2 linked regions of the Callithrix jacchus genome follow. The protein of the gene in region 1 binds, or shares a complex with, the protein of each later gene. Links are inferred from orthologs where the notes say so. Each region holds a gene or a part of one and is shown on either strand. Other genes may lie near its edges. The genes, in order: GCC2 and RAB6A.

Region 1 (15,423 bases):
TGCGGTGAGCCGAGATCGCGCCATTGCACTCCAGCCTGGGTAACAAGAGCGAAACTCCGTCTCAAAAAAAAAAAATAAAATAAAATAAAGAATCCCATTAAAAAATGGGCAAAGGACATGACTAGACATCTCTCAAAAGACACAGAAATGGCCAAGTATATGATAAAATACTCAATATCATTAATCATCAGGGATATGCAAATCAAAATCACAATGAGGTATCATCTTACTCCAGATGGAATGGCCATTAGGAAGAAAAAAAGTAACAGACATTGGTGGTGATGTGGAGGAGAGAGAACTCTTCTACACTGTTGGTAGAAGTGCAGTTAAGTATTAGCCACTGTGGAAAACATTTTCGAATTTCTCAAAAAACTAAAAATAGAGCTACCCTACAAATCTAGAAACCCCAATACTGGGCAGTTACCAAAAAGAGATCAATATAACAAAGGAATATATGCACTCCTATGTTTATTGCAGCACTATTCACAATAGCAAAGAAATGAAATCAACCTAAGTGCCCATCAAAGGATGAATGGATAAAGAAAATGTGCTATATATATATATACAATGGAATACTGTATGGCCATAAAAAAGAGTGAGATGTCATTTCCAGCAATACGGATGGAGCTGGAGGTCATTATGTCGAGTAAAATAAGTAAGGCAGAGAAAGGTATTTTTCAAAATAGCCAGAAGACCTTAAATGTACCCAACACATATATATGGTAAATACTTGGGTGATGGATACTAAATACTGACTTGATGATTATACATTCTTCGCATTTAACAAAATTTCACATGTACCCAACAATTATGTACAAATATAATGTATCAAGAAAACAAAGGAAAAGAAAAAAAAAACCTTAAAGGTAAAGTTGGCTAACTTGGAGAAATTTTCTTTTTTTGTGTGTGTGTGAGACAAAGTCTCACTCTGTTGCCCAGACTGTAGTGAAGTAGCATAATCCTGGCTCACTGCAACCTCCGTCTCCCAGGTTCAAGCAATTCTCCTGCCTCAGCCTCCTCAGTAGCTGGGGCTACAGGTACACGCCGCCACCATGCCCAGCTAATTTTTTGTATTTTTAGTAGAGACAGGTTTTACCAAGTTGGCCAGGTTGATCTCCAATTCCTGACCTCAGGTGATCCATCCACCTCGGCCTCCCAAAGTACTGAGATTACAGGCATGAGCCACAGTGCCTGACTGAAATTTTCTAATCTTGTCTTTAGGGGTAGTTTTGACAGTGGGAGAATGCATTGATAAGGATTAAGGAGGAAAACAGCAGGTAGATATTTAAATGTTCTTATTCTGAAATGCAGTTCTGTAACAAGTATCCAGAGTTAATGGATAAAAAATTAGAAAACACTCTGATTCTTTTTAAAAGAAAAGGCCCCTTTTCCGAGTGTGTGTCCTTGCCTACGTTGGTGTTTATAAAAATATCCCCCAGGCCGGGCACAGTGGCCTATACCTGTAATCCCAGCACTTTGGGAGGCTAAGGCGGGTGGATCAACTGAGGTCAGGAGTTCAAAACCAGCCTGGCCAACATGGCGAAACATCGTCTCTATTAAAAATACAAAAATTAGCCAGGCATGGTGGCAGGCACCTTTAATCCCAGCTATTCAGGAGGCTGAGGCAGGAGAATCACTTGAATTCAGGAGGCAGAAGTTGCAGTGAGCAGAGATCATACCACTGCACTCCAGCCTGGGTGAAAGAGAGAGACCCTGTCTCAAAAAAATTAAAAAAAAAGACCCCCAGAAATAACACATGGTAATGATAATAACAATTATTGGGCACTTATATGGCCAACCCAGTTCTATGTGCTGTAACCTTATCAATCCTATATTTGTACCTCAATCCTACAAACAGAAAGTATTATCATCTGTATTCTACAGATGACAAAACTGAACCATAGAGAAAGAATTTATGAAACTTAGTCACGGTCAGATAGCTGGTCAGTGGAGGGACAAGGATTTGAAAGCCTGACTCAGGCAGTCTGGGTGAAATTGGCCTTCTTCTTTAATTACCATATAGTTGTAATGTGGCTGTCATGGATTAAGAAAACATGTAATGACCAAATAATCGAATAAGACTACTCTGAATTCAATAATACTTAATTGAAACAGTACACTATAAACTGAAATGGCATTTGTGCCATAAAATGATACTGTGTGACATGCATATGGATTTAAAGACCCCGTGTAATAACTCTCTGGTAGTCACTCTGTAGTCCACTGATTACAAGTTGGGAGCCGCTGATGAGAAAATAAGATAATATATAACCAAAGGATATAAGGCCAAAGCAGTGAAAACAATATTGCAGAGCTCCAAGATGCAAAAGAAACTTTATGGAGGCTTGGCCTAAGAGGGGTAATGAAAAAGCATTTGTTACCAGTAAGGGAATGGAAGTAAGAATAAGCAAGTCAGGTTTTTTTTTTTTGAGACAGTCTTATGCTGCTGCCTAGGTTGGAGTGCAAGTGCAAGGGGGAATCTCAACTCACTGTAACCTCTGCCTCTGGGTTCAAGCAATCCTTGTTCCTCAGCCTCCTGAGTAGCTGGGATTTCAGGCGTGGGCCATCATACCCAGCTAAACTTTGTGTTTTTAAGAGACAAGGTGTCACCATGTTGGCCAGACTGATATCAAACTCCTGACCTCAAGTGATCCTCCCACCTTGGCCTCCCAAAGTGCTGGGATTACAGATGTGGGCCACTGCGCCTGGCCTGCAACTCAGGTTTTTAAACAGGGAATAAAAAGAGTATTTTGTTATCTGGCAAGATTATGTAAGACTAAAAGAGAAAGAGAGCCCAGTTAGGCTTTTAGTAAAATAGGTGAAGTGTTTGATGTGTTTAACATAAAGCCAAACAGAGAGAAAACAGAGAAACTGGAACAATATTTTAAAGCAGTAATAGGTCTCTGGTGACTGATACATATAGAGGAGAAAGAAAATAGACAAAAAGTGTCTCTAAAGTCAAAACTTACAAAACCCCATGGTGCCACTGGTCTAACTAAGCAATTTGGTTATGTTGAGTTTGATGAGATATGTGAAATGTGTGAGGAATTTATTCTCTAGGCAGCTAGAAACACAACTGTGAGATCTGGGTCAGTAGTTGTAGTCATGTCCAGGGATATGGATCTAACTATAGATTATTATATACAATACACATAAAATCACTGAAATCCTGAGCATGGCCAGGTTTTCTCAGGGGGATAGGGAAGAACAGACAGAGAATGAAGTAACAACCATAATTAGAAAATATGTGGGAAGAACAAATAATAATTTCAGAACAGAAAGAGACCTAGAGGTCATTAACCCACTCTTTTTACAGTAAATCAGATAGGTAAAAACAACCAAGGCAGAGAGGAAGTGGAAGAACATGGACAGAAAGCCAGATAGCCTCCAGTAGGCTGACAATCTTCATGGAAATTTTTTCTCTGTAGACATTTTCTCTAAGTAATAATTACCTTAATAATATCATCAGTTCCTTGAGTAACAGGTTTTGATTTGAGTTCTTCAATTTCTTTCTCCAATTCTAAACAATTAAAAAATAAAGGACTCCAGTTCAGAAATAAAGAAAATAATTACTGAGAAACTGATTAAGTACATTCTTATAAAATCCCAGACATCTGCAAATTAGAATAAATTTAAGCAGATATTTTGAAAAAGTATTTTCACCCACATAATATTATTTTTTTCTTTTCTTTTCTGGAAAACTTCAAACAAATAGAAAAGTACAGAGAATAGTATGATTAATCTCTGTGTACTCACCACTATGCTTTAGCATTATTACACGGCCAATTTTGTTTCCTCCCAACCTGTAACTCACTTCCTCCTTCACTGCTTTTCTTATCCATCCTGATAATTTTCAAGCATACCCCAGACATCATATTATTTCATGTAAGTACATCTTAATATATAACCTTAAAGCAACAATCCCGTATTAAGAATAAACGTTACTGAGAACAGCCTGGCCAACATGGTGAAACTTTGTCTCTACTAAAAATACAAAAATTAGCCAGGCATGGTGGCGGGCACCTGTAATCCCAGCTACTCGGGAAGACTTGGGAGGCTGAGGCAGAAGAATCACTTGAATCTGGGAGGGGGAGGATGCAGTGAGCCTAGATTGCGCCACTGCACTCTAGCCTCGGCGGTAAGAGCGAGACTCTGTCTCAAAAAAAAAAAAAAAAAGAATAAATGTTAATCTAAGTGTTTTATTAGCACATGTACAGATGTCAGGCCTAGAACTTCTTTCCAAATAAATTACTCTCTCTTCCTCACAAGGTGATCCAAACTCCCAAGACATAATATTATCTTTTCTAATAGAAAATAAGTCTTTGCTTTTAGGCTAAGCAGTTAACATTTGTAAGTCATTGGAAATTCAAGAGTTCATGTATACATACTAAAAAAAAAGATACTAAAATCTTTTTCTTCTGGAATAAAAAGAAAACTGAGACAGCCCCGGTGGCTCCCACCTGCAATCCTAGCACTTTGCGAGGCCAAGGCGGGTGAATTGCCTGAGTTCAGGAGTTCGAGACCAGCCTGGGCAACACATGAAACCCCAACTATACTAAAACACAAAAGAATAAGCTGGGCGTGGTGGCATGTGCCTGTAATCCAAGTTACTCCGGAGGCTGAGGCAGGAGAATTGTTTCAACCTGGGAAGCAAGGGTTGCAGTAAGCTGAGATCGCGTCACTGCAATCCAGCCTGGGCAACAGAGCTAGGCTCCATCTCTTCAAAAAAAAAAAAGAAAGAAAAGAAAAAGAAAACCGAATAGGAAATCAATCAACCAATGTCTGCAAATGGAAATCTTTTATTATTTTAGTTGAGGAAGCCTTTTATCTCTTTGGGGTTCTAATCTTGTGTCTCTTTTTTCAACTGACTTCTCTTGAAAAAAAGTTTTACTCAGAAGAATCTAAAGTCTACAGGAAGGAAAAACACGCTTAACTTACAAAAACTTTTAAAATCCTCCTCCCTGACTTTATTTTAATAACACAAAAGTCACTGTGGTTTACAGATGTGGGAATAACTTAAAACTCAGAGGTAAATAGTTACAACGTTAAATAACAGATTCTACTACACTAAGATATATTTGAATCACTGGAAAACAAACAAAAAAGTCAATGCATTATTTTAAAAACCACCATTTTAAACCACAATTAAAGAGACTGTGATCAAGATGAGTATTTTCAACCCAATACCTGTACACCTTGATTTAGCTTTCTGTATTAGCATCATCTGCTTCTTGGCAAACTTGATGAGATCTTCTTTGGGCAATGTTTCCAGCTGAAAGATGTGGTCGTGTTACCAACTTGTTATAACTCATGTTCCTAGTACACCACAAAAAAGAAACATAATGTCTGCCAGAAAACAAAAACATTCTACTGAATAAATCTTTACGCCAACAACATACTTTGTTCCACATTTTTTGTTTGTTTGTTTGTTTTTTTGAGACGGGGTTTCGCTCTTGTTACCCAGGCTGGAGTGCGGTGGCGCGATCTCGGCTCACCGCAACCTCCGCCTCCTGGGTTCAGGCAATTCTTCTGCCTCAGCCTCCTGAGTAGCTGGGATTACAGGCACGTACCACCATGCCCAGCTAATTTTTTGTATTTTTAATAGAGACGGGGTTTCACCACGTTGACCAGGATGGTCTCCATCAGTTGACCTCGTGATCCACCCGCCCTGGCCTCTCAAAGTGCTGGGATTACAGGCGTGAGCCACCGCGCCCGGCCTGTTCCACATTTTTTTTTTTTGAGACGGATGTACTCTATTTCCCAGGCTGGAGTGCAATACACGATCTTGGTTCACGGCAACCTCCGCCTCCCAGGTGCAAGCGATTCTCCTGCCTCAGCCTCCCGAATAGCTGGGATTACAGGCCCTACTACCAGGCCCAGCTAATTTTTGTATTTTTAGTAGAGATGGGGGTTTCACCATGTTGGCCAGGCTGGTCTTGAACTCCTGACCTCAGGTGATCCACCCGTCTCAGCCTCCCAAAGTGCCGAGATTACAGGTTTAAGCCATGGCTCCCGGTCACATTTTTTAAAATTAGCAAATGCAATTGCAAGTACATAATTGCCAAGCAACTACTAAAAATGTAAAAATTAGTTATGCAACTACTATGAAATGTAAAAACCAGGGCATATCCTCTTAGAGCTAATGTTACAGGTTGACATTTGCTAGGTTTTGATTTCTTTAACTGTAAAATTAGTGGGTTAGAACTAATGCTACTTAAAATTCCTTGGAGCTGTAAAATAATTTCATGCTATTCGAGGCTGAAAGTCTTTGGTCACAAGAAAATTTCAGCATAATTACAGCATCAAGATGATCCAGTAACATTCAGCCTTTAATTAAAAAATTAAGCTTTACCACTTGAGAAAATAGCTTAAGTCTTGTGGTCTCAGGGTTTCTCATTTGTAAAGTGAGGGTAACAACAGTACCTATCTCATGGTTATCATGAAGGCTTAAATGCACTGAGTGGTTAGGCAAGTGCCTGAAATTCAGCATGCAGACGATAAACCTTAGCAATAAACCACTATCGTTCAGAATGATTGAATGTTAAACATTGTACAGGGCCATAAAACAGGACTAATTCAACTCTTTTTCACAATGTAGAAACTGGAGCCTACAGATCAGAATCCCTTGATTCCTATTCTACGTCACTGCTCCTTCTACTACATCATCACTATATAAACCTTCTTAAATTAGACAGCTTTGTTTAATGTCCGAAAAATCGCAGGATCTTTCAGCAGTACTAACCAGGAGCAGGAAGTAAACAAAAAGTCTTCTTATATCAAGGCACAGAGGGGAAAAAGAAAGAAACAGGAAATGGACGGGTGACTGCGTAAATTAAAATTGAGATCCCTTACAGCAAGGCTATTTTTTTTTAAAATAGCCCCCTCCCTCCGCCCGCCAAAGTTTTCCAATTCATCACCCTTCCACACTCTTCAGGGAGTCCTCTAGTCAAGTATTCTCTTCACCTTAGATTTTCCGGTCCCAGGGGTAGCTGGTGAAGCCACCCCATCTTGAACAGGATCCTGCAAAACAAAATCAAACCCAGGTGTCAGAAGAACTCTTTTCCTAATTCCAGACGGAAAGCGTGGTAAGGTTTCCACGCTTTCCGTCTGGAATTAGGAAAAACCCTCTGTGCAATCAAGTGGGGGAAAGCCTTGTGAGACAGAGAATGAGGGGGGACAGAGGCGATCGCTGTGGGAAATCGTATACAAACCGGCTCTAAGGGGACAGGTAACCGCCAGGGATGGAGTTTAGGGAAGATGGGGAGGCGAAGGCAGCGCGGATTTCCGGGCACCGAGCGGGAGACTGCCGCGCCGTTCCACCGGGCCCACCCCCAAATCCCAAATCGCCGCGCAGAAGGCTTGATGGGAGGCAGTGGGCCCGAACTGTTACCTCCATCTCCGCCTGCCAGCCGCGGCCCCAGAACCAGCAGCCGCCACCGCCACACTTGTTTGCGCCCGACTCTGACGTAGGCTCGACTGCAGGTCAAAGGTCGCGCTCTCCGGTCGGCCCGCCCCCCATGTCTCCATAACTACGGCTCGGCAGCAGTTCCGCTTCCGCCTCTGGGTCCGGGAGAAGGTTCCCCTCCGGGCGCTAGCCGAGGGCGGAGTCCTTGTCGACATTCCACCTGCGTCTAGACCCTGTCTGGGCCTGCGGGTCAGGGAGTAGGTGTGGGTCACGCCACTACCTTTTATTAGCATGGGAACGCAGGCCGATTACCCCTTGGGGCCTCGGGCCTCAGTTTCCACGTCTGTAAAATCTTGTGAGAGTCAGGAGAACATTCGATTGGAGGACAGCTCCTTCAGCGCCCCCCTCCAAGGGTAGCTGCTGGCCTGCCAGTGCTTGCGGGACCCACAGCTGCTTCCGGGGGGCTGCTTAAGCATTTGTGGCTAGCATGTTGCCCGGGAGCGCCCCGACTCACAGGTCAGAGTTGGGGGGCTTCCCTGAGGAGGTATTTATTGGCTCTGGATGCCTTGAGGAGGTCCTGGGACAGCTCTTCCCTGCAGCTACCCGGTACTGATGGTGACCTGGTGGAGGCAAGATAGTCGGCCAGGGAACAGGGAAGCCAAGCGAGGAGACTCTGCCCCGAGGGCACGCCGAAGAATCTGTAGTCGAATCCCAGGGCTGCTGCTGTGTCCTGATTGGCGGTCCAGAGCTCTGAGGGCCTTTCTGTGAACTGCTGAAATGGTTTACTGCACTTTTACCTTCCCATTAAGGTTTTCCATATACTCCAATAGCTAAGGTCACCTGAAGATAACCCAGTTTCCTGTAGTTTGAAATGGCCAAACGGATGAAGAGGCAGCATACAGTACTTATCCAATAAATGGTAGCTGATTATTACTAGGTAAAGGAAGTGTTATATAACCAAACGAGAAAGCACAGCTATTGCTGACATTTCGCTAACATCTACTCTTTGTCTTTGACAGTGTATCACCCATGGTGTTTGACTGTCTTTGGTTCAGGGGTGGTATGTGACCTAAGATGTACAGTCAGAAGTTTTGAAACTTCTGTTTAGTATTTTGGTTTAGTGATAATTCTGTCTCTGTGGATGTGATTGAGGAAACATACAGCCCTGATTGCTGTTGGTAGACATCTGCCCCTATGGTAGAAAGCAGCCTGAAGACAAAATTGTTAAGAAGAAAAAGGGCCAGGCACAGTGGCTCACGCCTGTAATCCCAACACTTTGGGAGGCCAAGGAGGGCGGATCACGAGGTCAGGGGATCCAGACCATCCTGGCCAACACGGTGAAACCATGTCTCTACTAAAAATACAAAAAAAGTAGCTGGGTGTGGTGGTGAACGCCTGTAGTCCCAGCTACTCGGGAGGCTGAGGCAGGAGAATTGCTTGAACCCAGGAGGCGGAGGCAGTGAGCCAAGATGCCGCCACTGCACTGCAGCCTGGGCAACAGCGAGAGACTGTCTCAAAACAAAGCAAAAAAAAAAAAGGAAAAATGCAGAGCCCAGACATCCCCAGAGGAATGAAGCTGGAGCTCTGATCAATTATCAGTGAGTCAGTAAAGTCCCTTTAAGTGATCCAGTTAACACTGGGTTTTGCTGTTACTTGTAAGAGTGTACACATCTTTTGGGAGGAAGAGTTATCCAACTTGAAGAAAAAAATATCTCTCTGTAATGAGATGACTAGAGAAAATGTTCATAATTCTGGACACTGTGCAATGGTATAAAATGGGCAACTTTGATACTAGAGTAGAAAAATTACCTCAGACAACATTTTAGAAGAAAAGATCTAAGAGCCACCAAAATTTTATGGCAGCACTTGCTATTAAAGAAGCATTCTTCTTGAAATCTGTCAAAAGACTGGGTGCGGTGGCTCACGCCTATAATCCCAGCACTTAGGGAGGCCAAGGTGGGCAGATCACTTGAGGTCAGGAGTTCGAAATCAGCCTGGCCAACATGGCGAAACTGTGTCTCTACTAAAAATGCAAAATTAGCCTGGCATGGTGGTGCATTCCTGTAGTCCCAGCTACTTGGGAGGCTGAGGCAGGAGAATTCACTTGAACCCAGGAGGTGGAGGTTGCAGTGAGCTGAGACTGCGGCACTGCACTCCAGCCTGGGTGACAGAGTGAGAGTCCATCTCAAAAAAAAAAAAAAAAAAAAACTGGCACAAGACAAGAAAAGAATGCCCTCTCTCAGTACTCCTATTCAACATGGTATTGGAGGTTCTGGTCACAGCAGTCAGGCAAGAGAAGTAAATAAAGGGCATTCAAATAGGAAGAGAGAAAACTTCTTGTTTGCAGATGCCATGATCCTATATCTAGAAAACAGATATAGGATATAGAAAATCCTATACATAGGATATAGAAAATCTATAGATATAGCCCAAAAGCTTCTTAAGCTGATAAGCAACCAGAGCAGTCTCATGATACAAAATCAATATGCAAAAATTGCTAGCATTCCTATACATTGACAACAGTCAAGCTGAGAGCCAAATCACAAACTCATTCACAATTGCCTCAAAAAGAATAAAGTGCCTAGGAATACAGCTAACAAGGGAAGGGAAAGAGCTCTACAAGGAGAACTACCACTGCTCGAAGAAATCAGAGACGACACAAACAAATGAAAAAATATCCCATGTTCATGGATAGGAAGAATTAATACCATTGAAATGACCATACTGCCCAAAGCAATTTATAGATTCAATGCTATTTCTATGAAACTACCATTTACATTCTTCACATAATTAGAGAAAGATATTTTAAAATACATATGGAACGAAAAAAGAGCCCAAATAGCCAATGCAATCCTAAGCAAAAAGATTAAAGCTGGAAGCATCATGCTACCTGACTTCAAACTATACTGCAGGGCTACAGTAACCAATATAGCATGGCACCGGTACAAGAGCAGACACATTGACCAATGGAACAGAAATAAGACCATATACCTACAACTATCTGATCTTCAACATACCTGATGAAAACAAGCAATGGGGAAAGGATTTCCTAGTCAATAAATGGTGGTGGGATAACTGGCTAGCCATAGGCAGAAGATTGAACTGGACCCCTTTCTTACACTATGTAAAAAAACTAACTCAAGATGAATTAAAGACTTAAATGTAAAACCCAAAACTATAGAAATCCTGGAAGACCACCTAGGCAGTACTATTCAGGATATAGGAATGGGCAAAGATTTGACGACAAAGACGCCAAAAACAATTGCAAGGTGAAAAGCAAACATTGACAAATGAGATCCAATTAAGAGCTTCTATATAGCAGAAGAAACTATCAACAGAGTAAACAGACAACCTACAGAATGGGAGAAAATTTTTGCAAACTATGCATCTGACAAAGGTCTAATATCCAGCATCTATAACAAACTTAAACAAATTTACATGATAAAAACAACCTATTCAAAAGTGGGCAAGACATGAAAAGACACTTCTCAAAACAAGACAGACATATGTCCAACAAACCTGAAAAAAAAGCTCAACATCATTGATCATTAGAGAAATGCAAATCAAAATCACAGTGAGATACTATCCAGGTAGAATGACCATTATTAAGTAAAAAAATAACAGATGCTGGCAAGGTTGTGGAGAAAAAGGAATGCTTATATACTATTGATGGTAGTTCAACCATTATGGAAGACAGTGTGGTGATTCTTCAAAGATATAAAAACAAATGCCATTTGACCAGCAATCCCATTACTGGGTACATACCCAAAGGAAAAGGAATTGTCCTGTCATAAAGACATGCATAAAGACATACATGCACATGTATGTTCATTGCAGCACTATTCAGAATTGCAAAGACATGGAATCAACCTAAATGCCCATCAATGATAGACTGGATAAAGAAAATGGTGTACATACACACCATTGAATACTATGCAGCTATTAAAAGAAACAAGATCTTGTTCTTTGTGGGGACATGAATGAAGCTGGAGGCCATTATCCTCAGCAAACTAATGCAAGAACAGAAAACCAATACCACATGTTCTCAATTATAAGCGGGAGCTAAATGATGAGAACAAATTGACATATAGAGGGGAACAACACACAGTGGGCCTAATGGAGGGGTTCGAGGGTGGGAGGAGGGAGAGGATCAGGAAAAATAACTAATGAATACTAGGCTTAATACCTGAGTGATGAAGTAATTAGTACAGCTGCCATGACATATACTTACCTATGTAACCTGCATATGCTCCTGAACTTAATTAAGAAGAGTGGATAAATGATTTCCACAGATAGTATTGTTAAAACTCAAGACTTTGAGCAGCGTAAGAGGAAAAGAGGGATTTCTACATCAAGTATGATATATTGCGTTTTATATAGCAGGCATTCCATGAATATTTAATTGAACCAATTAATGTATTAAAGGATCAAGGAACAAAACTTAAGATCACTAGTTAATTTTTCCCCAGGTTTTGAGTAAGCTTAAAGCTGAAACTTCAGGGTAATTGTTCTATCTGGTGATACAAATGATGTTATAGCATTTTTTTCCTTTCTGGTATGGAATCCAGTCTGGGATCAGGTATTACATTTGTCTTGTCTCTTCAGGCTCCTTTTTCTGGAGCACTTACACAGTTTTTCTTGGTCTTTTAAAAAATTAACATTTTCAAAACTGTAGTTTTCCCCATCTTTTATTTTTTCAATTAACATGTAGTAGAATGGATTTTCCTTTAGCATACAGTTCCTTGAATTTTAATACACTTAGAAACATGTACCCATCAGCACAATCAAGTTTCAGAAAAGCTCTACTTTCTCCCTGACTCCCTCATACTAGTCTGTTATAGCCACATTCTCCTTCCATCCCCAATTCCTGGCAACCATGAACTGTTTTTTTTATCACTATACTTTTGTCCTTTCATGAATATAATGTAAATGGAAATAAACAGTATGAACCTTTTGAGACCAGCTTCTTCCACTCAGCATATTGCCTTTGAAATTTATCCAAATTGCTGCATTTATCGATAATTTGTTCCTTTTTATTGCTAAGTAATATTCATGGTATGGATGTATGACAATTTGTTTGTCCATTCACCAACATTTTGATTTGTTTTCAGTTTTGGGTGATTATGAATAGAGCTACTATAAACATTAATGTACAGGTTTTTGCAGAAATGTAAGTTTTTGTTTCTCTGTGGTAAATATCTAGGAGTAGGATTTTCTGGACTCTACAGTAAGAATGTGTTTAACCTTTTTCTTCTTTCTTTTTTCCTTGTTTTTTTGAGACAAGGCCTCACTCTTTCACCCAGGCTGAAGTGCAGTGGTGTGATCATGGCTCACTGCAGCCTTGAACTCCTAGGCTCAAGAGATCTTCCCATCTCAGCCTCCTAAGTAGCTGGGGCTACAGGCACATGCCACTATGCCTGGCTAATTTTTTATTTTTGTAGACATGAGGTCTTACTATGTTGCTCAGGCTGGTTTGAACTTCTGGCCCTCAAGCAATCCTTCTACCTTGGCCTCCAAAGTGCTGGGATTACAGTCATAAGCCACTGTACCCAGCCATATTTAACTTTTTAAGAAACTGCCAAACTGTTCACCCTGATTATTACCCGGGATAACACCAAGAGATGATCTTTTTCTGGGGATGGCTGCATTTAGTGACCAACTGCTTGAGCAAGGGGCACAAAAAAACCACAAGATGACAAAGACAATCAAAAACCTTTCTGGGCTGGGGGCAGTGGCTCATGCCTGTAATCCCAGCACTTTGAGAAGCTGAGGCAAGTGGATTGCCTGAGCCCAGAAGTTTGAGACAAGCCTGGACAACGTGGCAAGACCCCATCTCAAAAAAAAAAAAAAACTTTCTGATTTTGTTTTAATGGAGGCTTTTTGAATGCTTAACAATATTAGATACCTTTGGATGGGAAACAGCATTGAATACCTTGGCTATCAAACCATTGCTGAATAACTGTTGCAATAAAATTTTTGTACCATGGTAGGGTTGCTAATTGTCCTGAAAACCAAATACATATTAGTTTCTGGGGCCATGCAAGTGTAACTGTGGTTGGCTGATGGACTAAAGTGACAGCACCATCGCCTGAAAAAGTGTCAACAGAGATGGGGCACCACCACTAGCCTGGGAGGGCTCAAAGGTGTACTGTAGTCAGTCTGCCAGGAGAGAATCAGATCAACTTTGGTCAGGAGCCACAAGTGACAGCCTCTGCAGAACAGAGTCCTTCTCTTTTTGCCTTGTCTGCCATGGTGGATATGTGTTCATGGCTGGTGTGATGATGGATCCAGGTAGAGATAGAGTAGCGATCAGGTCATTGCAAGCAGGTTGATTCTGGTTGGTCTCAACAGAGAATAGGCCCTTCCTGTGGACGTTTACATAAGAATCTCCAAAAGTTTAATAAGCAGCTGTAATTTATTTTTACTGTTCATAGCCCTATGAAATGTGTCTTTAATCTGACAGTCTGTAGTTTTCAAAGTGGCAGACCAATGGCTATGCCATTGGCAACACTCTAAGAATTTGTAAACATATAGCAAAATTCATCAAGGGAGGTATTAGCCAAAGCTCTGAGTTGGTCCTTGAGTTCTGTACTTTGCATGGAGGTACTACATCTTTTTGGTTCTGCAAAGCTAACAGTGAGGTTGGAAAGCTACTTCAGTCCAGTGGAAACCAGTAAGATTCAGCCTAGCCATACTAGGCTCAAGATTTAGGAGAATCTTTGTGAATTGAGGGCCCCATCAAGCTAGTAAAATGACTCACATGGATGAGTCAGGGTAAAATTTTCCTTTTTTTTTTTCTTCTTTTTTTTTTTTTGAGAAAGAGTCTTGCTCTGTCACCCAGGCTGGAGTCCAATGGTGGGATCTTGGCTCACTGCAACCTCCACCTCCTGGGTTCAAGCAATTCTCCTAATTCAGCCTCCCAGGTAGCTGGGATTACAGGTGCCTGCCACCACTCCCAGCTAATTTTTTGTATTTTTAGTAGGGACAGCTTTCACTATGTTGGCCAGGCTGATCTCAAACTCGTGACCTCAGATGATCCACCCACTTAGGCCTCCCAAAGTGCTGGGATTACAGGCATGAGCTACTGTGCCTGGCTGCCATTTTCTTCATAGAGCCCATATGCCTAGAGGACCAGGTCAGCTGCATTCTTGAATATACCCTTTTCATTTGACAAGTAAGGTTTTGTGGGCCTTCTTGCATTATCAGTCATAGAGTCTGATTGAGTCACCCTCTGTCACCAGGCTGGAGTGCAGTGATGCAGTCTTGGCTCACTGCAACCTCTGGCTCCCTGGTTCATGCTACTCTCTTGCCTCAGCCTCCAGAGTAGCTGAGATTACAGGCATGGGCCACCATGCCCATGTAATTTTTGTATTTTTAGTAGAGATGGGGTTCACCATGATGGACAGGATGGTCTCAATCTCCTGACCTCGTGATTTGCCCTCCTAGGCCTTCCAAAGTGCTGGGATTATAGGCATAAGCCACCATGCCTGGCGTGTTGTTTCTCTTAAGGAGGAAAATAATTAATTTTTTCCTTCGCTAGTTATAGTAACTGCTGAAATCTTCTAAATATATTTATCATCTTTCATACTTTTAAGTAAAGAATAAATATTTATCAATTAATCGTGAATACTCTGAGATCTTCTGATATTCATAAACCTATAGCAAAGACCTTACTTAGATTTAAGAAAAAATGTCTTCTTTATATTTCACATTCTCTGGACTACAGATAAGTTTAAATTTTAAAGATACATATTACCTTAATGAGCAGAACTATGACCTTTTAAATGAATATGTTTCCTTCCAATTGTAAAAGTAACACAGATTTATTATAGAACATCTGGAAAATCCCAAAATGAAAATGAAAATTTTTTTGTTTGTTTGTTTGAATTTTTTTTTAATTGGATTTTAGGTTTTGGGGTACATGAGCAGAGCATGCAAGACAGTTGCGTAGGAACAGACATGTCAGTGTGCTTTTCTTTCCTTCTCCCCTTCACCCACATATGGTATTTCTCCCCAGG
Region 2 (15,534 bases), on another chromosome or scaffold:
AACCAATTTCCTTAAATGAAAGTCTTCACTTCTTGCCTCCATTTCTTCATTTCAAATTTATTCCTAGATCCAAATCTGGCTTCTTGTCTCATTACTTCATTGAAACTTTTCAGACCCAGGCCACCAATAACCCTCTTGAAACTACTGTTTTGGCCCAGTGCAGTGGCTTACTCCTGTAATCCCCATACACTGGGAGGCAGAGGCAGGAGGATTGCTTGAGTACAGGAATTCAAGACCAGCCTGGACAATGTAGCAAAACCCTGTCTCTACTGAAAATACAGAAAATTAGCCAGGTGTGGTGGCTCATACCTGTAGTTCCAGCTACTCAGGAGGCCGAGGTGGGAGAATCACCTGAGCCTGGGAGGTCAAGGTTGTAGTGAGCTGAGATCATGCTACTGCACTCCAGCCTAGGGATCCAGAGTGACACCCTGTCACACACACAAAAAAAGAGCCGTGCAAGGTGGCTTATGCCTGTAATCCCAGCATTTTAGGAGGCTGAGGTGGGCAGATCACCTGAGGTCAGAAGTTCTAGACCAGCCTGGCCAACATGGTGAAACCCCATCTCTACTTAAAATACAAAAATTAGCTGGGCATGGTGGCAGGTGTCTGTAATCCCAGGTATTTGGGAGGCTGAGGCAGGAGACTTTCTTGAACCCGGGAGGCAGAGGTTGCAATGAGCTGAGACCATGCCATTACACTACAGCCTGGGCAACAAGAGCAAAAAACTTTGTCTCAAAAAAAAAAAAAAAGAGGAATAACCCTCTTTTGAGGTATTACATTCCACAAAAGTCATTCATTTTAAGCATACAGTTCAGCAATTTTTAGTTAATGTGCAGAATTGTGTAATCATCAACATAGTATAATTTTTAGAACATTTCTATCACCCTAAAAAGATTCTTTGTCCCCATTTGCAGTCACTCACCTTTGACAGTAGGATGCTTTTTAGTCTTTGACTTTTTTGACTGCTCTGATGTATCTGACTCCACTGACTAAGCCTTTCCTTTTGAAACATTCTCTTCCCTTGTCTTTCTTGTCACCACTCCCTCTCCTGGTTTTCTACCTAACTTTCTAGCATTTATTTCTCTTCACAGCTTACTTTTTTAATATTTTTTTGAGATGAAGTCTCGCTCTGTTGCCCAGGCTGGAGTGATATGGTGCAATCTTGGCTCACTGCAACCTCCACCTCCTGGGTTCCAAATTCTTCTGCCTCAGCCTCCCAAGTAGTTGGGACTACAGGCACATGCCATCACGCCAGGCTAATTTTTGTATTTTTAGTAGAGACAGTGTTTCACATATTGGCCAGGCAGGTCTCAAACTTCTGACCTCATGATCCATCCACCTCAGCCTCCCAAAGCCTCCCAAAGTGCTAGGATTACAGGCGTGAGCCACTGTGCCCAGCCCAGAAAGGGATGGGTTTAAATCTGTTGTCTATACAGTCATTAATACAATTCCCTCGTTTTTGTCCTTGCTTTATCCCTACCTTATGTGGTACTTGATATTTCACATTCCTGAGCAGAATTTCTGCAGTTCTTCTTAGCTGATTGGCTTGCTTCTTGTGACTTCATCCTTCAGTAAGCACTTTATATGTTTTGTTTAGTCAGATACCATTGCCCTATCTTTGTCTCCCATCTTAAAATGTTATGGCTCTGGGTTAGAGATGTCAAAGACAGAGTTTGCATTTTAATTTCTTTATTCTCATTTTGGAATGATTTCAGAAAGGGAAGACAGAACATCTTTAATCTAGCTTCCTAAAACTGGAAGTGAGTTTGTTTTCCCAAAATATCCAGTGAGATGATGTCGGGGCTTATTATCTCACTGGATATTTTGAGCGACAATTTCTATAATTATTTTGATATCTTTAATTTTATATAAAATAAAGTCCTAGTCACTTTTTGTTAATTGAAAAGCTGAAGAAATATTTGCAGAAAGATAGTTTCTCTTGGCTTCTTTGGCAAGTTACAGTTTGGCTATGCATTCTGTTGGTATTTCAGTGCAAACAGTGTTGGTCTCACTTTTCTATCCTAAGATGCTCTGTTCTTTATATAAACAGCAGTAGAGGCAGTTGTTCTCTTCTTCTCTGAGTGATTATCACTTTAGTAGCAGGTGGAGTGATTCATTCTCTGGAACATCTTGGAGGAGACTTTATTATTTGTGGGGGATAGAGTGTGGGGAGAGGAGAGCTCCAGCAATGTGTCAGATTTTATACATCCTGGACTAGCATAAAAAGAAGCAAGTTCTTCCCCCACTGCAATTTCAAAGCCTGGAAGTAACACCACACTTACAAGGCTCTGAGAAATCACATTATTCATAACGGGGACCATGATTCACATGAACAGAACAAAATGGAATTATCAAAAATAGATTCGGTAGATCAATCTGTAGCAAAAATATCTTCTGACTTAGCTATTAATTGGCTGTAATTACAGAAAGGACCATTCCATTTAAGTTCTACCACCTTCTCCACTTTGACAGACTAATTTTTATTCTTGAATGGCATGTCCTTATAGGTCAAAGTATTTGGAAAACAGGTTTTAACATGACTCCTTCCCCCTTTTTTCTTGTGGTCTTTTAAAAATGAGACTTATGGGCTGGGCATTGTGGCTCATGCCTGTAATCCCAGCACTTTGGGAGTTTGAGGCAGGTGGATCACGAGGTCAGGCGTTCAAGACTAGCCTGGCTAACATGGTGAAAACCCATCTCTAGTAAAAATACAAAAATTGGCCAGACCTGGTGGTGTACACCTGTAATCCTAGCTACTCAGGAGGCTGAGGCAGGAGAATTACTTGAACCTGGGATGCAGAGGTTGCAGTGAGCTGAGATTGCAACACTGGACTCCAGCCTGGGTGACAGAGCGAGACTCTGACTCAAAAAAAAAAAAAAAAAAGAGACTTAATTCAATATACCTTGTGTTAATTGTACTCATTTAATTGGTCACCGTGAATTGTCACTTTTATGCTTTGTATATTGACCCACTATTATTTTTAGTAGCAATGATTATAATAACCTGCAGTGTGGGTTAGAAGGGATTCCATTTGATGGAATGTGAATTCCTGCCAGAGCTATTATTTGTTTCAAATGTGAGCAGTATGGTTTCAGTCCTTTTACCTGGACAGTTTTTCTCCTATTGATTTCCTGCCTCTCCAACATAATAAATCCCTTTTTAGGGAGTAGTAAACAGAAAAAGGCAATTCCAGTTTGCTAACTACTACTTTATATATACACATACAATATTGAGTGCCTAATATTCAAGCAACTATGCAAGGTATTTTAAGGGATCTAAAGATGAGAATGTCAGCTGCTTTCAGCTGCAAGTAGTAACAAAGAAATACAAAGACACATAAAGGCATTATTAAATATAAAGACATTTATTATGTTAGTAAAAAGAAATCTAGAAGAAGGCCAGTTCCAGGGTTGGTACAGTGGCTCAATGATGTCTTTTAGCTTCCTGCTTAGCCATCATCAATGGATTGGCTTTTTTCTTTAGAATTATATATTAATGTTTAGAAGAGCTATCTTAGTTCTAAATATCATTTCCTTACATAGCCACATCAATGGCAGAAAAATGGCAGTCTTTTTCTCATTCCTTTTCATCAAGGAAGAAAATATATTTCTCTTTATTTCTTCTCTTAGAAGAAAAAAGCCTCTAACACATTTCCTTCATCTCCCACTGGCTCAGATGGACTCATGTACCTATACCTTAGCTGAAGGAAGGCTGGAAACATATCTGTTATCTCTAGTATATATGGTAGAAGTATGTGTGTGTGTTGTGTGTACATTGCTGGATATGCAACCAATAGTGTCTGTCACTAAGAATAAGATGAAATTGGCTGGAAGCAGTGGCTCATGTCTGTAATTTTAGAACTTTGGGAAGCAAAGGCAGGCGGATCACTTGAGGTCAGGAGTTTGAGACCAGCCTGGCCAACATGGTGAAACCCTGTCTCTTCTAAAAATACAAAAATTAGCCAGACATGGTGGCACATTTCTTTAATCCCAGCTACTCAGGAGGCAGAGGCAGCAGAATCTCTTGAACCCAGGAGGTAGAGGTTGTAGTGAGCCAAGATCATCCCACTGTACTCCAGCCTGGACAACAGAGTAGGACTCTATCTCCAAAAAAAATTAAGAAAGAAATTTCAGTCCTTCTTTAAGAAGCTTTGTGTTGCTCAGGGCAGAAGATAAGCTACAATTTTATTATAATTTCTATGTGATACATTTCCTACACAGTCATGGGCTTCAATTTAGATATCACCTTTAAATTGATAATGAAAGCTGCTTTAGGTACTTTGAATTTGGAGCTGTGAAGCCTGTCCTCTCCCATTGTTCCTAATTTTTAGTTACAAGATCTGTTCTGGCCATCTTTTTCATAAATAATGTTTTAGGAATGAAGTACCAAATTACATATTTTTGGGTGATGCTCTCTTTTTCCAAAATGCTTTTTTTTTGAGACGGAGTTTCACTGTTGTTACCCAGACTGGAGTGCTATGTCACGATCTCGGCTCACCGCAACCTCTGCCTTCCGGGTTCAAGCAATTCTCCTGCCTCAGCCTCCTGAGTAGCTGGGACTACAGGCGCGCACCACAATGCCCAGGTAATTTTTTTATTTTTAGTAGAGACGGGGTTTCACCTTGTTGACCAGGATGGTCTCGATCTCTTGACCTCGTGATCCACCTGCCTCGGCCTCCCAAAGTGCTGGGATTACAGGCTTGAGTCACCGCGCCCGGCCCTCAAAATGCTCTTAACTTCCTTCTCTGCATGCCCAAATCCCATTTATCCTTCCAAGAGAGTGAAAAATAATTCCTCTTTTATTTTTTCAGCAAACATCTGCTGCATGCTAACTATGTAGTAAGCACTATTCAAGCACTGGGGATACAAGATGAGATCTGACCTCATGGAGCTTACAGTCAAGGAGGGACAACTGACAATGAACAATTAAGAATAGGGTACAATAGGACAGGCAAAGGTACTTATACTGTCAGTGGGGATGTGAGCAGATGGGAGCAAGACTTGTAGCGTAGACTGAATGTTTGTGTCTCCCTAAAATTCATATGTTGAAACCATAGTCTCCAATGTGATGGTATTAGTAGGTGGGGCCTTAGGGAGGTGATTAGGTCATGAGGGTGGAGCACTCATAAATGGGATTAGTTCCCTTGTAAGAGGGACCCCAGAGAGCTTTCTTGATCTCTTTCTGCCATGTGAGGACACAGTGAGAAGATGGTTGTCTATGAACCAGGAAGTGGGCCTTCACCAGACACCGTATCCTCTGGCACCTTGCTCTTGAACTTTCCTGTCTCCAGCTGAGAGAAATAAGTGTTTGCTGTTTAAGCCAACCAGTAATGGTATTCTGTTATAGCAGCCAGAATGGATAAAGACAACTTCTTTAAGTGGTAAGTGATTTAAAAGAAAAAAAAGACAATTTTTTTGTTTTGAGAGGGAGTCTCACTCTGTTGCCAGGCTGGAGTGCAGTGGTGTGATCTTGGCTCACTGCAACCTCCACCTCCCAGGTTCAAGTGATTCTATTGCCTCAGCCTTCCGAGTAGCTGGGATTATAGGCACACACTGCCATACTCGGCTAACTATTGTATTTTTAGTAGAGTTGGAGTTTCACCACATTGGCCAGGATGGTCTTGAGCTTCTGACCTTGTGATCCACCTGCCTTGACTTCCAAAGTGCTGGGATTACAGGCGTGAGCCACCATGCCTGGCTAAAAAAAAAAGACGATTTCTTTAAACTGAAGGATAAGTAGGAATTGGGGAAGAGTGGGGAAGGGAAGGGAAGAGTGTTTGTGGTAAAGAGAAGCGAGTGTAGGAAATCATGAAGGTGAAAATTCTCTTGAAAAGGACCTCTCTAATTCCTCTCTCTTTTTTTTTTCCTTAGGCCCTTCTCTGTCTGAAAATTCCTCTTTCTCTTAGGTAATTTTTCCATTTGCTATACCTTATAGCACTTAATATGCAATGGTTAGGCCATAAAGTCTCTGAAGACAAAACTTACAAGGAGTGCGTGATAAATATGAAGGCAGCTTCAGAGTCTAATGAGACTGTATATGTGTCAATGCAAAATGAAAGCTTAAAACATTAAAATATTTTAGGTAAGAGGTGGACTATACCATATGGCCTTCAAAATGACAGGGAATAGTACCACCTGTCTAGGTGACTACAGAGACCTAAGCAGCAGGGAGGACTGATTCATAAAGTTCTGTAGGAAGTACAAAGTAATTATAGTTCCAATCCTCAGATGTTACTTTAAAGTCTATTTCAGGAAACATAATGAAAGCTTGGTACCCATCAGAAGGAAAATAGCTACTCACTTTTGTTTGCATAAGCTTTTTAAAAAGTTTCTTTGTTTAAACTGTTCTTTGTATGTGCCAGGGTCTGGATTAATGGTGAAGAGGACTCTATTAGACCTGACAAACTGCTTGTAAAATCAAATGTCCATGCCACAAGTTAGGTTTTTACCATTTTTCTTTAGATGCATATTCTACCTGCACGTGTCTGGCAGAGGAAACAGAAGGGAGTAAATTTTGATAGTGAGTGTTTGAGGATAGAGCTGTTGTCTTGATAGGCTAGAACAGATGATATTTTAAGAACTTCAGTTCCTCCCCGTGATTTATTCTAGGTCAGCAATTCATCCTTGGGTCTGAGAAGGCACTTTTTTGATCCTGTCATTTCTACAGCTAAGCAAATAACTACCCAGTAATGAGAAAATGTACATAAATGTTTTTGTGAATTATATAAGATACTATATACAAATGTAAGGACTTTTTTTTTCTTCACTTGGCAATTTTTTTTTTTTTTTTTTTTTTTTTTTTTTTTTTTTAAGACAGGGACTTGTTCTGTAGCCCAGATTTCAGTGTAGTGGTCACATACTACAGACTCCAAATCCTGGACTCAAGCAATCCTTCTGCCTCAGCTTCCTGAGTAGCTGGAACTACAGGCGTGCACCACGACATTCGGCTAATTATTTTATTTTTTGTAGAGATAGTGTTTTGCTTCGTTCCCCAGCCTGGTCTCGAATTCCTGGGCTCAAGCAATTCTATCGCCTCGGCCTCCCAAAATGCTGGGATTACAGGCGTGAGCCATCGCGCCAGGCAGCTTTATGGATTTTGCAAGTCATTTTCTACCTCTAGGCTTTGGTTTCCTCATCTGCAAAATTGGGAGGCCCTGATTCTGACAGTTATAAAATTCCTGGAAGCAATGGAAAAGAATGTTATTTAGTACGATGCCGTGTGAGGAATTATGATAAGGTGGAGAAGGTGGGGTGTGTGCAGGGGTGAAGGACAGATCTGAGGACTGTGGGGCCGGCTGAGGGTTCGGGAAAGAGGCTCCTATTACAAATCTTATGGCTATAGGACCCACTCACACTTTTTGAGGTATCATTCCACCTTAGTCCCGGCCCCGCCTCAGCCTCACCTTTCTTTCGCTTCCGCCCCATCTCTTCCCCTCCCCTTCACTCACTTCTTTTTCCCTCTCCTCTGGCTGAGAAGTGCCACACTTCGTATGGCCGCCACCGTGCTCCGCTTTCCATTTCTCGAGGGCTGCGCGCGCTCTCATGCCGCACCTCACTCGCGTGTCGGCCCGCCCTCAGCCCCTTCCGATTGGCTTAATATGTAAGTGACGTAAGGGCTTCATCTACCCGCTAACTTATCCCTGGTTTGCCCCGCCTCCTCCTGGCTTCTGATGCGAGTGGAAACCTAACCTGCCCCGCCGCCGCCTCACGGGAGGAAGGCGTCGAAACCAGGAAGGCGATGGCGATGGCGATGGCGGTGGCGGTGGCGCGCGCGCACGCACGCACGCACGCACGCACGCACGCACGCCAGCGGCCGGCGGGGCAGCAGGCTCGCGCCCGGGCTCGCCCCGCGCCGCGCCAGAGGCTCGCGCACTCAGCAGGTTGGGCTGCGGCGGCGGCGGCAGCTGTGGAAGCTGAGGTGCTGCGCGTGAGAGGTCCCAGACACGTCTGCGGTTCCGGCTCCGCCACCTTCCGCCACTCTCACCCAGGTCTCGGAGCCGGGTGCTGAAGGAGGGAACGGCCCTAGCCTTGGGAAGCCAGAGCACACCCCTGGCTCCTGCTGACACCGCCCTCCTTCCCTTCCCAGCCGCGGGCCTCGCTCAGTGCTAGGCGACTCTGCGGGGAGGCGGCGGCTGCCAGTCTGTGGAGAGTCCTGCTGCCCTCCAGCCCTGCTCCTCCGTCGGGCCCTGCAGGGGCCGAGAGATCTCGGCGCCCGCCCTTCCGCTCGCCTTTTTCGTCAGCGGGTTGGAGCATCGTCGGTCCGGGAGGTCTCTGGGCTGAGGCGGCGGCAGCTCCTCTGGTTCCACCATGTCCGCAGGAGGAGACTTCGGGAATCCACTGAGGAAATTCAAGCTGGTGTTCCTGGGGGAGCAAAGCGGTGAGTGCGTGGCTCCCCCACTCCTGGCAGCTGGCCGCAGCGTCCCCGCACCGCCCCCGGTGCGGCCCTTCCGTCCGCGGAGGCTTCCTGCTCGCCTCGCGTCCGCGCTCGTTGCCACCGCAGCCCTTCCCGAAGTGCCCGCCGGTGCCATCAGCCCTCCGCCTGGATCCGTCGGTCGAGTTTTTACCCTCTTCCCCGGGCTCTTCGATCGTCTCCGTTCTCCGCAGGCCGGCCATCTCCGGTCGATCTGCCCTCCCTCCGCAGCCCTCACCCCGCCCAGCCTCTTGTCCATCCCTTTCTTCCTCCGGTCTCCGCCGTCTCCCCTACCCCGGCCTTCTTTCTTGAGCCCCACCCTTATTCTTTGCCCTTTTCCCAGTTCCTCGGCTCTGTGAGGCCCATTCAGGGAAGCTCCACTCCTGAGAGCGGGCCCTCTTCAACCTTGGCCAAGGAGGGTGGGATCTGGGCGTTGTTTTCCCCAGAGGCTTGGCTCTGAGAAGTACTGATGTCGTGGAAGGTGGGAAGGGGGGTGGTCGTAGAAAAAAAATATTACATGGTTTTCACCTTAGTGGGAAATTAGTCTGGAGGAAAACATCTGAATTGGAGGCGACTTGAGCATGGGGTAGTTGGGGGTGAAAGGGGTAGTGTCGGCAGAAGAGATTTTTGCCCCTTAGGTTACATTGGGCTGTGGCTTGTCGGAAAACCTCATTTTGTTTTCTTGACTTTCATCACTGACAATTCTTTTGGCAGTGTTGATTTTTCAGTCTCTGCCAGATGCTATGTCATGATCATTTTACTTGGAATTTTTCTCATCTCACCTCCCCTTTTTCTCGTTTCAACGTGAAGCAGCGTTTGAGTCTCATGGTGGTACAAATGGGAATTACTGGGGAAATGTTAATTATTCATTTCTTCTTGAGTATTTTCCAATGATAAATATATTGAGGATTCATGAGAGAGAAGACTTGGAATAACAAACATCTTTGTTTTCTCGGATTTCCTTTGGAAAATGGAGTACAGTAGGAATAGACTCATCATCTAGTTATCTGAATTCGATTTACATACGATTTGGGCTAAATGATTCTTTTATGCTTAATATTTCGTACTGTCTGATGAGTGAAATTGTTATGTCATTTACCTGGTCAGGTTATGTTATCACTGTACTTTTGTATTAGATACAGGATTCTAATTTTGTGATTGTTATTTCTACGATTACTTCGTGTAGTAATTCCAGTTTTCTGCTGTAGTATGCAAACTTGACACTCGACAATTTAGAGATGATTACCCTTCTTTGTTTTTCTCACACTTTTCATGATCATCTTTAAAATTCAGACATTGAGAGATTAGTTCTGAGTCATCAAACATTGAATTCCTACTATGTGTTTAGGTGAGGTTATAGAAAACATTAGTTATTTGTTTCGACTGGAAAGCATGTAAGTGATATAAATTCATAGATTTTATTACTACTTTGAACTACTTATTCTAATTCGTATGCCATGACAGGTTAATACTCTCGAAAAATTGCCTCCAGTTAGAACTAGGAAATAATTTTTCTTCTTTTATATGTAGATTATCCTCCCCTCCTCCCTTTTGGGAAAAAAATCCAATCTCCCTCCGTTTTGCTTATATATTTTCCTGGAGTAAGTATAAACTTGTGTCTTTAGGTGAGTAACTTGGTAGAACCTATGGAGTTGATTCTGGTCCAGCTATTATATGTCAACTTCAGGATACTTCTCAAAGATAGAGTTTTTTGGTCATTATTGATAAAAAGGATCCAAAGTGCTTATTGTGCATTCTAGGGATATTATTGTCTTCCTTAATGTTGTGATGCGCAGCTGTTTAGTTTGCATGAAAAACCCATTAATCTCCCTGTCTAAAAAGATTTTAGCATGAATGGAGAGCTTAATTTCCTATCTTCAGGTTTCCTTTGAATTTCTTATTTGTATATGTTCTAATTCATAATGAAGAGTTTTATGGCTTCTGATTTCTTACCTTGTTTAAGCCTCTACTACTCTTCCCCCTCCATTACTAAAGCTTGGTTAGATTTTTTTGTAATAGACTTTATTTTTTTGAACAGTTTTAGACTTACAGAAAAATTGAAAAGATTGCGCAGAGTTCCCATATACCCACACATCTAGTTTCCCCTCTTATTAACATCTTGCATTAGTATGGCACATTTGTTACAATTAATGAATTAATATTGGTATGTTATTATTAACTTAAGTTCATAGTTTATTCAGATTTTTAGTTTTAACCCAATGTACTTTTTCTGTTTCAGCATTCAATTCATGATATGAAGTTAATTATCTTTTGAGGTTACTATATTGCCAAGTAATGCCATTCAGTAGCTTTGACAATGAAAGATTGATCTCTGTTTTCATGGTGTCAGTGTCTATAGTTTTCTTATGTGTTAGTAGAGGTCTGTAGACTTCATGTTGTTTTGATGTAACTCTTCATGAATTGTTTATTTTTAGGTCTGTTAGAATTCCACAATCCAGCTTTCAAAGGCTATAATCTGTGGCAAAGCCTTGTTTTGTTCCTTAATAGCATTTGCCACATTTATAGTTATCTGATTTTTTGGGTGTTTATTTCCCACAAAAGAATGCAAATCCCATGAAGATAAAAACTATTACCTTTTTTGTTCATTGTATCCTCATTACCTAGCATAGTACCAGGCTCATAGTAGTTGCTCAGACATGTTGGGTGAATGAATGATGGCTGAATCTAATAATAACCAAAGCTGGTAGCCTGTATTACAGTTTTTGCCATGTTGAAGTTCACATTTTTTCCTTATACAACTGATAATTTTACAACACTTAAAACTTACATCATTTGATTGTATAGGGAAATATATCAGATACTTAAGAGAGTGGAGAAACCAATCATTTAGGGGCCCATTTGAAAAATAGGACTGACCTGAATTTTGTACTTTTTTTTTGAGTTGAGCAAAATTAGCCTTCCTTTGTTAAAGTTGTTGTTAAATTATTTGCTGTTAATATAACACATAAAAAGTATTCAAATTATATGCTCATGTATAATGATGTGCTCATGTACTCATGGAACTGATCTGAAGTTAGGTTTTATTTGGCTTATCAAAAATCTAAGATGCTAGGGTGGGCACGGTGGCTGACAGCTGTAATTCCAGCACTTTGGGAGGCCAAGGTGGATGGATCATCTGAGGCCAGGAATTCAAGACCAGCCTGGCCAACATGGTGAAATCCCGTCTCTAAAATATATATATGTATATAGGGGGGTGTGTGTGTGTGTGTGTATTTAAGATACTGTGCTCTGTAATGAAAATGAATTGTGTCAGTACATGAAGCAGATTGGATTAATGACATCAATCTTAACCTGGGTAAATTCTTTTTTTTTTTTTTCTTGAGATGGAGTTTTGCTCTTGTTACCCAGGCTGGAGTGCAATGGCGCGATATAGCCTCACCGCAACCTCCACCTCCTGGGTTCAGGCAATTCTCCTGCCTCAGCCTCCCGAGTAGCTGGGATTACAGGCACGTGCCACCATGCCCAGCTAATTTTTTGTATTTTTAGTAGAGACGGGGTTTCACCATGTTGACCAGGATGGTCTCAATCTCTTGACCTCATGATCCACCCACCTCGGCCTCCCAAACTGTTGGGATTACAGGCTTGAGCCACTGTGCCTGGCTTTAACCTTGGATAAATTCTTACAGTTTAATAAAGGAATGTTCAGCCGGGCATTCGGAATAGCTTGAATCTGGAAGGTGGAGGTTGCAGTGAGCCAAGATCTCCCCACTGCACTTCAGCTTGGGCCTCAGAGTGAGACACTCTCTTACTGTTGAATATTTCAACATTTATTTATGAGACTCTGTCTCATAAATAAATGAATAAAAGAATGTTGAAATACACAACTAAGTTTCCTTGAGAAGTCTCTTGTGTTATGACCTCTGGCTATTGTCTTGAGATGCAGAGGCACTTTTAGTAATGGCACTCAGTGGTTTACAGTAGAAAATATTATATATATATATATATATATATATATATGTTACTAATTATAAATTAGGAGATGTAATGGCAGAGAGAAGTGTATGTTAATCCTGCTACTGCTTTTTACCCTGTATATTGCCTTTTTTTCCTCACATCAATTCTGATCAAATTGCAATATGTTAGATAAGGAAAAGATATCTTACTGTTAGAGACCAGCAGTACTGACCAGTTGTTTTTCTTTTGAGACAGGATCTGGCTCTGTCACTCAGGCTGGAGTGCAGTGGTGCCATCTTGGCTCACTGCACCCTCTGCCTCCCAGGCTCAAGTGAGCCTCCCAAGTAGCCTGGACTACAGGCTAATCTTGTACGGTTTTGTGGAGATGGGGTTTTACCATGTTGCCCAGGCTGGTCTCAAACTCTTGAGCTGGAGAGATCCTCCCACCTTAGCCTCCCAAAATGCTAGGATTATAGGTGTGAGCCACCACACCCGGCCAGTACTAAACATTTTATATTGGCTAGATCGGTGGTTTTTAACTTTTTTTCCCCAAGACCTCTTTCTGCTCTTACACATTTTTGAGGATCCTAACGAACTCTTGTTAATATAGTTGTTGTTCTTCCTCCTCTTTCTTTCTTCCTCCTCCCCTTCCTCTTCCTCCTCTTCCTTCTACTCCTCCTCCTCTTGTTCTTTTCTACTTCCTCCTCTTCTTCCTCTTCCTTTTCCCTTCCTTCTCCCTTCCCTCCGCCTTCCCCTTTCCCCTTCTCCCTTCCTTCCCCCTTTCCTCTTCCTTCTTTCTTCCTCCTTCCCCCTTCTCTTTGGATGCAGTGACTGTTCACAGGGGCGATCATGGCCCACAGCAGCCTTGTCTTAAGCTCTCCTCTTGCCTCAGACTCCCTAGTAGCTGGGACTGTAGGCACATGCCACTGTGCCTGGCTTTTGTTTATGTAGTTTATATGAACATTTACTGTACTGAAAACAGAAAATTTAAAAATATTTAATAGATTAAAAATAATAGGGCTAAGTGCAGTGGCTCACGCTTATAATCCCAACACTTTGGGAGGCTGAGGCAGGCAAATCACTTGAGGCCAGGAGTTTGAGACCAGCCTAGCCAATATGGTGAAACCCCTTCTCTACTGAAAATACAAAAAAATTAGCCAGGTGTGGTAGTGGGCACCTGTAATACCAGCTGCTTGGGAGGCTGAGGCAGGAGTATCGCTTGAACCTGGGAGGCAGAGATTTCAGTAAGCTGAGATTGTGCATTTGCATTCCAGCCTGGGCAACAAGAGCGAAACCCTGTCTTGAATGAATGAATGAATAAATAAAATAATAGTAATAAACCCATTGTATGTTAACATATATATATATATAGACAGTCTCCCTCTGTTGCCATGCTGGAGTGAGTGCCTCCCAGGTTCAAGTGATTCTCATGCCTCAGCCTCCTGGGTAGCTGGGACCACAGGCACACAGCACCATGCCTGGTTAATTTTTACTTTTTTTTTTTTTAATCTATCTTTCTTGATGATGCAAAGGCAATGCCTGGTTAATTTTTTGTCTTTTTAGTAGAGACAGGGTTTTGTTGTGTTGGCCAGGCTGATCTCAAGCCCCTGGCCTCAAGTGACCTTCCTGCCTTGGCCTCCCAAAGTACTGGGATTACAGGCATGAGCCACCATGCCCAGCCTTCATATTAACATCATTTTTGAAATGAAAAATAACTATTTTCCAGACAGAGATTTAGTGAGAGTGGCATTGTTTTACATATTTGCAATCTCTGTAATACCTGACTTAATAGAAGACAATTGGATTCTCATAGCTGCTTATGCATTCAATCCTGTAATAGTACACATCATATAGGCACTGGGAAGCTCCATAATACACTGCAAGAGAATAAGAGTGAAAAAGTTATTTATTTATTTTCCTCAGAACATGCTACTTTAAATAACATCTTAATATTATGAAAATGGTTTTGACATCCAGGAGTTTGTGGACCTCCTGAAAGGTATTGGAAGATCCCAAAGGGTCAGTGGACCACTCTTTGTAAACTGCTGGGTTAGGTAATATCAAGCCAATTGTATCTCCTATTATCATGTTGCCAATTTTTCATATCTTGTTCTGAAGCCTTAAAACTAAACAGTAGAGTTAATGATTTAGAGCACTAGAGGACTAATAGAGATGGAAAGTGAATATAGGTTTCATGTTTTAGCAGTGGCTACTAACATTTGGCAGATTACTCAACATCTCTTTATGTTCCATTTTTCTTATGTATGAGATAAAGATAATAGACCTATCGTAGAGTTATTGTGAAGTTTAAACTAGTCAAATATTGCAAAACATTTAGAAGAGTGCTAGGCACATGAGAAGTGCTCAGTAAGTATTTTAATTTAACAAATGTTTATTGAAAATTGCTACAGTGTCAGGTGGTTTGGTGTCTACTCTTAAGAAATTTTCATTTTGTCAGGGAAGAAATATACAATACCAAATATTGTAGTGTATGATGAGTGCAGCTGCTTTTAAAAGTAGAGCTAAGGCTGGGTGCGGTAGCTGACACCTGTAATTCTAGCACTTAGGGAGGCCGAGGCAGGCCAATCACTTGAGGTCAGGAATTGGAGACCATTCTGGCCAACATGGTGAAACCCTGTCTCTACTAAAAATATAAAAAATTAGCTGGGCATGATGGTATAATCCCATCTACTTGGGAGGCTGAGGCAGGAGAATCACTTGAACTCGGGATGTGAAGGTTACAGTGAGCCGAGATCACTCCATTGCATCCAGCCTGGGTGACAGAGTGTGCATCTCAAAAAAAGAAAAAAAAAAGTAGAACTTAAAGCTACGTAGGAGTAATGCAAACATTGAGTTTTAGGGAAGGGACATTTACTAATAGTTTAAGCCTATTTAGTTGAAATTCTTGAATTGGAGCATTCCAAAGTTAGAGAAGACTGAGAGATCATCTAATCCATTTGTCTTAGGGTTTTAAACTGGGCCACTCTTTATTTTTCTCTACCTTCATTTTTAGTGGGTAATATAATTGCATATTTCATAAATCAAAATTATATAAGAATATATACTATGAGAAATTTTACTTATGTTCCTGTGACCCTGTTTTCTACCCTGCTTTTTTCTTTTTTTTGAGAGTTTCACTTTTATCACCCAGGCTGGGGTGTAGTGCCACAATATTGACTCACTGCAACCTCTGTGTCCTGGGTTCAAGT

Evidence for each region.
Region 2: the proteins of GCC2 (region 1) and RAB6A are in contact, whole or in part, in a crystal structure (PDB 3BBP), measured with the Homo sapiens proteins. The link is inferred for Callithrix jacchus from reciprocal best matches to the Homo sapiens genes GCC2 and RAB6A. Residues at the interface, in NP_852118.2 of Homo sapiens: Thr1585, Ile1588, Leu1589, Glu1591, Gln1592, Leu1595, Leu1596, Glu1599, Arg1602; in NP_942599.1 of Homo sapiens: Lys15, Ile46, Gly47, Ile48, Trp67, Arg74, Phe75, Ser77, Leu78, Ser81, Tyr82, Asp85.

The regions. Positions count from the first base shown.
Region 1 is NC_133515.1:20,674,003-20,689,425, forward strand, and holds the start of GCC2 (GRIP and coiled-coil domain-containing protein 2), read right to left. Parts: upstream 7,464-15,423; 5' UTR 7,397-7,463; coding exon 7,391-7,396; intron 7,026-7,390; exon of another isoform or gene 7,021-7,025; coding exon 6,964-7,020; intron 5,317-6,963; exon of another isoform or gene 5,273-5,316; coding exon 5,188-5,272; intron 4,153-5,187; exon of another isoform or gene 4,024-4,152; intron 3,521-4,023; coding exon 3,453-3,520; intron 1-3,452. UniProt on the Homo sapiens protein: Golgin which probably tethers transport vesicles to the trans-Golgi network (TGN) and regulates vesicular transport between the endosomes and the Golgi.
Region 2 is NC_133511.1:67,205,759-67,221,292, forward strand, and holds the start of RAB6A (ras-related protein Rab-6A), read left to right. Parts: upstream 1-7,859; 5' UTR 7,860-8,307; coding exon 8,308-8,377; intron 8,378-15,534. UniProt on the Homo sapiens protein: The small GTPases Rab are key regulators of intracellular membrane trafficking, from the formation of transport vesicles to their fusion with membranes.